Arabidopsis thaliana: one gene and its partners. The protein of the gene in region 1 interacts with the protein of each later gene in a pairwise test. Each region holds a gene or a part of one and is shown on either strand. Other genes may lie near its edges.

The links.
Region 2: the proteins of AT5G56840 (region 1) and AT5G07900 interact in a two-hybrid assay, tested with the Arabidopsis thaliana proteins (one large-scale study listed by BioGRID).
Region 3: the proteins of AT5G56840 (region 1) and NST1 interact in a two-hybrid assay, tested with the Arabidopsis thaliana proteins (one large-scale study listed by BioGRID).

What each region holds. Positions count from the first base shown.
Region 1 is NC_003076.8:22,978,594-22,982,353, forward strand, and holds the start of AT5G56840 (myb-like transcription factor family protein), read left to right. Parts: upstream 1-2,044; 5' UTR 2,045-2,195; coding exon 2,196-2,463; intron 2,464-2,786; coding exon 2,787-2,986; intron 2,987-3,325; coding exon 3,326-3,559; 3' UTR 3,560-3,760.
Region 2 is NC_003076.8:2,518,172-2,521,931, forward strand, and holds AT5G07900 (Mitochondrial transcription termination factor family protein), read left to right. Parts: upstream 1-1,997; 5' UTR 1,998-2,016; coding exon 2,017-3,234; 3' UTR 3,235-3,375; downstream 3,376-3,760. Other genes in the region: AT5G07890 (myosin heavy chain-like protein), read right to left, coding at 1-71, 156-753, 839-941, 1,040-1,099, 1,203-1,322.
Region 3 is NC_003071.7:19,221,277-19,225,036, forward strand, and holds the start of NST1 (NAC (No Apical Meristem) domain transcriptional regulator superfamily protein), read right to left. Parts: upstream 1,641-3,760; 5' UTR 1,547-1,640; coding exon 1,360-1,546; intron 1,049-1,359; coding exon 762-1,048; intron 265-761; coding exon 1-264. UniProt on the Arabidopsis thaliana protein: Transcription activator of genes involved in biosynthesis of secondary walls.

The DNA of each region.
Region 1 (3,760 bases):
TATGAAGTCTTGCGGGTGGAAGGTCGAAGAAAAAATATTGGTGAAGAAGATTCTTTCCTCTTTGCCTCCAAGATTCGATAAAGTCTTAGTGGAGGTTGCAGAAAAACTTTCTGTTAATGTCATTATCGATTGCTTGTTGGTTCATGAATACAATATGAGACCGGATCAAGAGTCTTTTCAAGAATCTGTCATTCAGAGTGTTAATGTGGAAGAAAGTTTTGAAGCAGAAGCTGAAATATTATACTCTTTGAATGACATTACTCAGAGCCAAGTGGCAATGATGGAGAGACAAAGTGAAGTGTTGTCGTTGGTGCAAAAGAATCAAAAGATGCTAATGCAGATGCAAAAACAAATGATGATGTTAATGCAGCAGAAAGATCATGTGTTAGCACACTCCGAATCTTATGAGGAGGAGATGACAAAAGTGATCGAGTCTATGGAGAAACACTACTTGAAGAAAAAGTAGTTTTGTTTATTTTTGTTTGGTTTTGGTTTTTTCTTTGTTTGGTGTTCCTGAAAGTTGATTAATTACTGATCATGGATTCATTCATAAAATTCGTCTTTGCATAAATTGTGGACTTCAACTTTTGGTAATTGTGAGACTTCTTACTCGAAACAGAGACTTATTATATTTTGTCACCTCTTAAAACAGAGAAAAACAGAGAAGTATCGATTTAGAGATCAAAAGAATGTGATGTGTGCTGTTATTGTGGATGAAGAGCATTTGCATAATGTTCTAATTTGGTAGTTTTTTTCCTTCAATAATATATGATATAGTGAGCAACATCTTTAGAATATGTTTAGTAAATTTTTGTAAAACAAATTGACCTACCTCACCAAAAACAAACTTCATTGGACCAGAATTAAGTAGCCATTAGGATCAAATCAACAATAATATACTATTTATGTGATGAAATATGAATCCCCATCATTGTCCTATATGAATCAACATTTAATATATTTTAATTAGTCGAATCTTAAAAATGAATCCCAGTCATATTATCTTTATGTATGTAGAAGAAGATATAATCAACATTAAATAGATTATTATAGTACATCAACATGAATACCCCATCTTGTCATATTATATGTATGTGGGATAGAATCAACATGAATCCACATTCAGTATTCAAATTAGAAATGATCGTAGGCTATGACTCTAAAGTTAATTTTAATTTATATGATGAATGCGAGTACCCCCATTATAGATTCATACTATACATTATTTTATATGATCAAATATGAATCATCATCATTGTTCTCCTATACTTGCTCTTCATTCCGAATGTAGCAATAGAATCTCCATATTGCTTTTTACCAATTCTAACCATAAACAATTCATAGATAAATGCATGTTGGGTAGTGCTTTGTCTACTAGTAATTAATAACATTATCGATTACAATATTTGAGCAAATCAGGCAATCTTTAAATAAAAATATGTATACGATGACTCTTCCGTCCAACTAATATATTGAAAATATTATAAGATCCAAATTATTTCATTATTTATATCAAACAAAAACAAGAAATAAATAAGACTTGTCTTTGTTCATGTAAACAAGACCACTTTGTTGTTTGTTTCTCTATTTTACAAATTTGTAAATTATATTTTTGTTATGTTTCTTTCCACATTTTTATTAGGTCATCCAACTACCCACCTCCCCAAAACTATTGGAGGATCCAAGTCCTCTCTCTCTCAACCATATATCTTATATTTCCTTTGCAAAAGGATAGCCTTTATTATTTAATACACATAGATTCCATTATTGTTATGGCTACCTCATTCTATTCTATAAAGCATACATATGAGAAGAAGAAGCAAAATATAGACTATGTGAAAGATAAATGAATATTTCATATTTGTGAGACAAATTAATTAGATTAGAATTAACATTTTGTAGCTAGTCCATATTAGTGATAAATTTCCACTTATAAAGACATATTTTCCTCTTTTGTTTTTTATACGTAAGCTTGTCTTCTTATTGGCTAAAAGTAGAAAACACCAACTTGGACAACATCATTTAAATTATAAAACCCTCCAATAAATAAAACTTGGTTTATCCAATCATCTTATTTCTCTGTGCTCTCCACCATTTTACATAAACCCCAAAATCTCTCTTCATCATCATCATTCATCAACATCATCTCTCTTTCTCTATCTCGCTGTCCCTCCTTCTCTTTCTCATTCATTGCAATGGGCAGAAGATGCTCACACTGTGGAAACGTAGGACATAACTCAAGAACATGTTCTTCTTACCAAACAAGAGTAGTTAGGCTCTTTGGTGTTCATCTAGACACCACAAGCTCTTCTCCGCCGCCTCCTCCTCCTCCCTCGATTTTGGCCGCTGCAATAAAGAAAAGTTTCAGCATGGATTGCTTGCCGGCATGTTCCTCCTCTTCCTCTTCCTTTGCTGGTTATCTCTCCGATGGTCTCGCCCATAAAACACCTGACCGCAAAAAAGGTTACAACTTTGACATATTATGCCACTTTCCGAGTTTTTTTTTACAATAGGATAGTGACGTTTTTTTATTAATCCAAAAGTTCCGGGTATTAGGCCCATAATCGATTTGTATCGGAGATCAAAACATGTTAAACTGGTCATCGGTGGGATTGGTTTTGCCATAAAGATTTTGTACGTATATCCAAGTCGGACCATTTCCTAAAGCATGCAACCGCTATATATATAAGAGTAGTCAAGAAAATGATGTGTCTATAACGCGATCTTTAGCCTAGGATTTTGTTAAAAGTTTTTCCAAAAATAATAATTTGTGTTTCCGTAATTAGGGGTTCCATGGACGGCGGAAGAGCACCGGACGTTTCTAATTGGATTAGAAAAGCTTGGAAAAGGAGATTGGAGAGGAATCTCTAGAAACTTCGTCGTCACAAAATCCCCGACACAAGTGGCAAGTCATGCTCAAAAATACTTTCTCCGGCAAACTACCACTCTCCATCACAAGAGACGCCGCACCAGCCTCTTTGATATGGCAAGTAATTCCAATCTTTTCTCTATACATGCATGACAAAAGAATTTAAACTCTTTGTATCAAACTTTTATGTATTAAATCAAAATGTTTCTGTATCCAACAAAAGTCACATCTTCAAAAGTTCAAACAGAATTTTTATGTTGTTTTAAAAGTTTTCTTTCCAAGTTTTTTTTTCCCACTTAAAATATCGGAATTTTCTAAACCAAAAATTAGTCAAGATTTTAAGTTTAATCTAAGCTTTATTTTAATACCAAGTATATATGAACATATAATTTCTTGTAGAATCCGAAGAAAAAAATAGAAAATAATCTTGAATTGACAAATTTTTATATTCAACAGGTTTCGGCCGGCAATGTTGAAGAAAATAGTACTACTAAGAGGATATGTAATGATCATATTGGGTCGAGCTCAAAGGTTGTTTGGAAACAAGGATTACTCAATCCTCGTCTTGGATATCCAGATCCGAAAGTATCAGTATCCGGCTCGGGTAACTCCGGTGGACTCGATCTTGAGCTGAAGCTTGCGTCCATTCAATCTCCTGAATCGAATATTAGACCTATTAGCGTTACGTGAATCTATATAACACGTTATGATCAGTTTCATTAGAATAATTCAAATGTTTACATATATAATATCTTATCGATCCTATCTAATTTGATTTTGATTTAACGTTAGTTACTTTGATAATTTCGTCGATATTGTTTTTTTGGTTTTTTCATTGTGAGATTTTTTGTCTTGGAAGTTGGATCCATACATATTTCTGTAAAACTTTAT
Region 2 (3,760 bases), about 20 Mb from region 1:
CCTCCACTTTATCAATCAAATTCACATTCTGAGAAAGTTCTAGTTTCTTCATGATAGCATCAAAACAATTGCTGTGAGACACAAAACCAACATTATTAGGGACGGGGATAACTCAATTTGATGACTTAATAAATTAGCCTTAAACTGGAGCTTACCGAACTTCATTAGACACTGGAAGCACATGGCTCAGTTCAGCGAAGAAGCACATTGCATTTAGAGGCTGTTCATCTTCACTTTCTAACCGTTCTTTAGTACTTTGAAAGAAATCTTTGATACTCTTTTCAGAGGCAGTAAATTTCTCCCTCAGGTCTTCGTTTTGCTTTTCGATGTACTTGACATTCTCTTTTGCCCTTTGAGACTGAAACTGGGACTCTTCGATTATTCCTTTTAATTGATCTTTTTCTTGGATGCTTTCTTCTTGGATTTTCATAGCGTCAAAGAGTGCTTGCTCCAACGCTGTTATATCAAGCTTCATGCTTTCTATTTCGCACAAGGACTCTAATGTTAAGGACGAGATGGTCTCTTCCAGTTTCTCCAATGTAAGAGACGAACACTGTAGTTCTATTTCCTTGCTCTCGAGTTCTTGCAACAACAACAAATGCTCGGATTTAGACATACACAACTCATCTCTTAAAGAGTTAACTTCTTCTTCCAGATTCCTTGATTCAGCCAATTTGAACTCAAGATCGTGCAGATGTTCATTGAGATAATTCACTTCCTTGCTTCTGAAAATTAGTTGATCCCGCAAGTAATCTACAAGGCGAAGATTAATATATGCTGAAACATATTATTATTAGTTCAGAAAAATCAAGACTGGTTGGCTTAAATAGAAAATTACCAATTTCCTTATAGCAATTCAATAATTCTTTCTCCATCATCTGAATTCTTGCTGTGTCTTCTAAGCGAGATTCAGATAATGACTTCGTGTGAAGTTCCAACCTCTGCGGTGAAGAGAAGATTAAGGTCCGAAAACTCAACCAACAGAATGAGAAAATACTTTCCCTGAATTGCTCATATTAAACAAGGAGAAGAAGACTACTCTGACTAGTTCAATACTATGGGGCTGTGATTCTCTCAGCAAGTCCTTTTGTTTCCTTAGCTGCCAATAACAAATCAAAGAGCACAAAACAAAACAGAAATCAACTTCAGCAATCTAAGAGTCAGAAACTACCTTATAATGAGCATAGCAATGAAGTGTTTACCTCCCTGCGTGTAGTCCCAATCTGCAAAAGATCTTCAACATCAAACGAGTTCTCACAATCACTTCTGGAACTACACGCCGAGCTACTGCTTCCCGAGAAACTCCCCGAGCTACTCGACATTTAGAGACAAAAATCACCACTGCAAAGGCAATGAATCATTAGCACCAATAACCTATAGAAACACTTTCTACAACTAACTTCAAACGAATCCAAGTTTTCATTCCCTAAATCAAATCAGATTTTTCTTTCAGTTTATCTTTCCACGGAAATCAAATTAGGCTATAAAAACACTTACAACAACTAAATGAAGAACTAGAGAAGACGTCAACTTCACAGGTCCAATTATTCATAAAATTAGATGAAAGCCTTGATGCTTCTACTCGATTCCTTTGAAGTAATTGGGGAAAACAGTACTACACACACCACTAGATAGCCAATTTCAACAACGAAGGATAAAAATTGCAACCACAAAAGAAAAAGCGAACACGAGAATAAAATTGATGAGCGTACACACGAATACAAGCCCAGGAAACGTTTACCTTCGCAGCTCAATCCCTCTCTGAGATAATTCCGACGGCGAATTTGCCGGAGAAATGATGTTTGAATTTGATGATCCTCCAAAAAAAAAAAATGTCTCTCGGTTTCTTCGAAGCGATGCCAGCCCAGATAAGTAAAAATGACTCTCTGCTTTGTTTAAAAAACAAAACCCGGTCAATTCCGGTCGGGTCGGTTCGGGTCAAACTAGTTATTATTTCGGATTTGGTTTATGTACTGTGAGAGTGAGAGATTTTTAGTAAGCAATCCCTCTCTAGTAATGGCGGTCGCAATACCTCAAGCCACTTCTCTTACGAACCTCGTCTTCCTCACGAAATTAATCCCACGAGGAAGCTTCACCACCATACTACCTAAGCATCATCGGAAACCAATCTTCGTATTCTCTCTCCAGACTCAATTTTCTTCTCCAGTAACCACACTCACCTCCAAAAACCCTAAAGATGATGAGCAACAGCAAAAACTCTCCTTCACCCTCAACTACCTTATCGACTCATGTGGACTATCTCCAGATTCCGCCACCGTAGCCTCTCGTAAGCTCTTACTAGATTCACCAGAACGACCCAACACAGTTCTCAACCTTCTTCGTGACCATGGATTCACCACAGCTCAAATCTCATCTCTCGTCAAGAAACGTCCTGTTCTCTTATTAGCCAATGCTGAATCTGTCCTCCTCCCGAAACTCAGCTTCTTTCTCTCAATTGGTGTCTCAAAATCTTTACTTGCTCGAACTTTAGCTTCTGATCCAACCATTTTGACTAGATCCCTTGTTAATCAGCTTATCCCTTCTTACAATTTCCTTAAAAGCGTTCTTGATTCCGATGAGAAGATTGTGGCGGCGTTGCGGAGGACGACTTGGGTTTTCCTTGAGGATCACACTAAGAACCTTGTCCCAAACATCAACTATATGGCGGAGACTGGTGTTCCTGAGAAATGTATCAAGCTGCTTCTCACGCATTTTCCTGAAGCTGTGATGCAGAAGAACCATGAGTTCCAAGCAATTGCTAAGCAAGCTCAAGAGATGGGGTTCAATCCTCAAAAATCAACATTTGTGTTGGCCATTCATGCTCTCTCTGGGAAAGGAAACAAATCGATATGGGACAAATGTTTTGAGGTTTATCAGAGATGGGGATGGTCGGAAGATGATATCATGTGTGCGTTCAAGAAGCACCCTCATTGTATGATGTTGTCTGAGAGGAAGATTAACAGAACGATGGAATATTTTGTGAATGAGATGAATATGGCGCCTAGATCGATCGCACAGTGTCCAGTGGTGCTCTTCTTCAGCCTTGAGAAGAGGATTATCCCGAGGTGTTCGGTTACTAAGGTTTTGGTATCGAACGGGCTTGTGAAAGAGGATTGGAGCTTGACGTCTTTGTTGGTTCCAGTGGAGAAAGTGTTCTTGGAGAAGCTCGTGATCAAGTACGAAGAGGAGTTGCCTGAGTTGATGAATCTGTATCTAGGATGCACCAAACTCTGAGCTTTTGTTTTTGACTGTTTTCATTATCAAATGTCAGATGCTGAGAGACATGAATCTTTGTGAAAAGAGTCTAGTGTGTAATCCAATTTTGGTAGTGAAAGGAAAGCTGATTAGCAAGCCCAACGTGTGTTTTAAAGACAGAACAATTGAAGACTTGCATGTAGAAGTAGAATCGTCATCTCAATATAAGGGCCAAAGCCAAGAATCGGTCTGCCTATATGATTTGTATACACACACGCACATATACATATACAGACACGCCTTGATAGAGTATACAAACGTACATATGTATGTGTTCATAAGAATTGGTGTGACAGTAACAGAGATTCTAAATCTTGCAGACGAGAGAAAGAGAGAGAGAGAGTTTTACAACAATATTTCTTACACGAAACGATGATCCTCATTCACCGAACCGACCTGCAAAAAACGAATATTTTATCATCAGTGAGGAATAATACATAGAGACTAATACCAAATCTATCTGCACTAGTCTAAATGAACTTACAAAGTAAGGAGATGTGAAGAC
Region 3 (3,760 bases), on another chromosome or scaffold:
GTTAGGGCTTTCGAGGTTTGGGAGTTTCATGAAAGGGTCAAGATTTAGCTCTTCTTTACAAGATCTCCCCATAAGTTCAAGAAATTGGTCGAGAGTATCCTCGTTGAAGATCTGAGATGATGTCGTCTTCGGCGTATCTCCGCCGCCGCTCAGGGAAGCTCCTCCGACGGGACTGTTTAGGGTTTTGTGAAGATTCTTCTTCTTGAAAATACGACACACCACCCATCCTTCGTCTTGTGATGCTTCCCCTATAATACTCACGACCTTAAATATTCAAAAATCAACTAAGATATATTAGCAAAGTTCATGTTTTGCACTAATCCCATTTAGGTTAAAACCAAAAAGAAAAAGAAAATTCATATTTCAGTTTCATGTGCGTCTGTATATGACAAAGGAGAAAAGAAATATTTGTGGGAAGAAGTAACTAAAACTATTATCATTAAATATTGGGAATTTAAGAAAAAAATAATAACGAAAACGAATATGTGATAGTTTTCATAATGTTATTAAAGAAAATTACGATCATACTTTGCATAAATATTGTTTTTTAAAATATATTAATTACCTTTATATATATATTAATTACATGATATTTTTTACTTGTACATCTTATCATCAGTAACAACTTTTATAATGGTCAATGAAATAATAATTAATCAAAACAAAATCGAGATTGTGATGTAAAATGAGATATTCAAAAAAGAGACCAAATCCTTTGATTGAATAACTCGTATTTAGGTTATGATGGAATTAATACATACCTCATGAACGGTGACATCCTCGGGGGAAATAATGTTGTCATCGAGTCTATATTCATGCATGATCCAATCAGATTTTTGGCCGTGAGGAGCTCGGCCTTTGTAGAAAACAAGAGTCTTTCTCATCCCAATTCTACGGCCATTGCTATATATGATCTTGTCGCGGCCAGTTGCTTTCCAAAATCCAGCCGCAGTGGCTCTGTTAGTTCTCGTTCCCGTCGGATATTTTTTGTCCTTGTGGCTAAAGAAATACCAGTCGTTTTGTGGCGTTGTTCCTATTTTACACATCTCTGCATAACGACAAAAATAATCAGAAGAAAAAAACTTAAATAGTAAATTGTATAATAACCAAACCTATGTTGGTCTTTGCAGTAACTAACTCCGAATATGAACAAACAACATCAACAACTAAGTGTAGATTCTCTGTACTCTAGTCATATTCTCGTAAAAGGATACATGAGATCACGTCATGAATCGAAAGTAGTATAGACAAGACAGCACTTTCATATATATGGAAAAATTAATAAATTCGGAAAATTGGATTATGAGAGTGTGAAAGAGAGAAAATTAATTCATAAAAAATTTCTTTATGGAAATAAACCTTGAATGTCCCAAGGCTCGAGCTTGTTGAGATCAACGTCGCGAATGACATCAAGATCGATCTCGATGCTATTAACTTTCTTCCGGAGATAATACTGCAACAGCTCTTCCTCGGTCGGATGAAACCTAAACCCAGGAGGCACTTGAGATTGTCCGTTCACTGATATGCTCATAGATTTTGACATCATCAAAGAGATTCAAGATTAACTCAAAAATCAAGCAAGAATAGAGCATGTGAGGTTTATTTAATTGTAACTATATATCATACTGAAAGTTGGAGATGAGAGAGCTAGCAGAGAATGACTCAATATATATATATATATTGTTGTATAAAAACAAGATGCATGAGGAAAACGCATGTGTCTCCTTGTACACCTTTTTTTGTTTTTCTTAATTATTAAAATTCAACTCTTATCATTAGCTTTTCCATTTGTATTCATTATTTAGTTTGAAAATTAAAATATAACCCTCCAAGAGCAATATATTAATTTCACTTGTCAATTATTAATGATTATTATTCTCTTGTTCTTTTTTCACAATTATTAGTTTCAATTTTTTTTGGCGTCTAGTTTTAAATAGTTTTGCTATTTTATTGTCATTGTAATTAGTTTAGAAATTAAAACGTGGGCCTCACTATAGTGATTTAGTTACACTTATCTTTTACAAGAACTTAAAATCATCAAATGTGACAATATCAGGCATCGTAATTATTTGTGCTAATATCAATGACATAATATCACTTGGACTATTTCAAATACGTATAATGTATGTTGTTATACATTTTTTTTAGTCTTTTCAAAGTTTAGGTTTATCTTATTCATTAATTCTTTAAACTACTAAGAACCATCGTAAACAAAATAAGTAACTTTGTGTATCTTTACATTTGCAACGAGTAAAGAATTATTGTGAAGAAAAAAAGGAAAACATAAAAAAAGTGATATATAGTTGTCGGAGAAAAAAAAGGTGATGTAGTTATCAAAAGAAAAAGAGTAGGCCCCGTAAGGCAACTAGATTGTAGGAAGCAAGCCCACATCGAACGATGACCCTTGACCTTAAAAATCTCTATAGAAAAGCTCCCTTTAAACAAATTAACAACCCACACATCGTAATAGTAATAGATTGTCTTCTTCTCTCTTTTTCTCTTCTAATTCTTGATATTTATACAAATGATATCTCTCTTTATATGCACATGCACACTGTATTTACAAAATAAAGTCGAAATAGGGTGTCTTAAAAAGTTTCCCTCCGGAAGATGTGGCTTTTTTCATCGATAAATAAACGTTTACACTACAAAAGTTTTTTTTTTTTAAACGAAAAGGTTTGATCGTTACAAAAAAACTAGTTGATGTGACAAAGAGTGTTTTTTTTTGGGATGTGACGAAAATTTATAAAAATATATTAGTAATAATGTGTATATGTTATATATGGGAAATTGTCTTCGAAAGAAAGTGGGAAATAATGCCCCAAACGGTAGATATAGTTTGGTGTTCGAGAGATGATAGAGTTGGGTAATGAGTGTTCCTGTCCCGTCTGAAATAGGATTAACAATCGATTTCACTTTTCTTAGCTAATGAAAATCTCTAGAGTTATACGTTTATTTATTTTTCAAATCTTTGCTCGATCGTTCGAGATGATTTGTAGTATGGTTAGTGCAAAACGAATGAGCCTAATTAAGGGGTGCTGTTTTTATTTTTTTAAACATTTGGTTGTTACGTTCTGTTAGAGACACTATATAAAGGTGAGACGACAGAAAGGTAACGATGACGTCAAAAACCACATAGTTTTATCATTTAGACTGTGGAATTGTATGTGTAAGTACGTGTACTTGTGTAGAAACGTAATTAAGAAAACCAAAATTAATGGAGCTAAGGAGTGTTTATGTGGTTGGAACTAAGACTTTATTTAAGATTAGTTAAGAGGCCTTTCTGCATTTGTCTAAACACAGAATCATTTTGTTGCGTTTTCGGAATTCCATGCTTTTAATCATTATTTTTTTAGTTTGATTAATGACATTGCACCCAACTTTTTTTGTGTCTTAAGTCCATGTGTTTATTGGTTGCGCTATGAAAATCCAAAGTTTCTAAGTACTATATAAAACGGGAAAACTGTAGAAATTTACAGGTCATGATTCTTTCCAGTAGCCAGTACCATGCGTTTTCTAATATATTTTGTTTGATAAAAGTTGTTTCTATTTTAAACGTAACTTTTGATTATTAAATACGGAGATAAATAGATAAACTAGTACTCAGAAAGATATATTACTTGAAGAATACATTTTTTTTAGAAATTATGTATGTGTGATTTTTTTAATTAACGTTTGGTAAAAAATAAAGTATAAGAACTAAATAAAAGAAATTTGCGTTGTCTAAAATATTCTCACTCCTCTATTATTTGTGATAAAT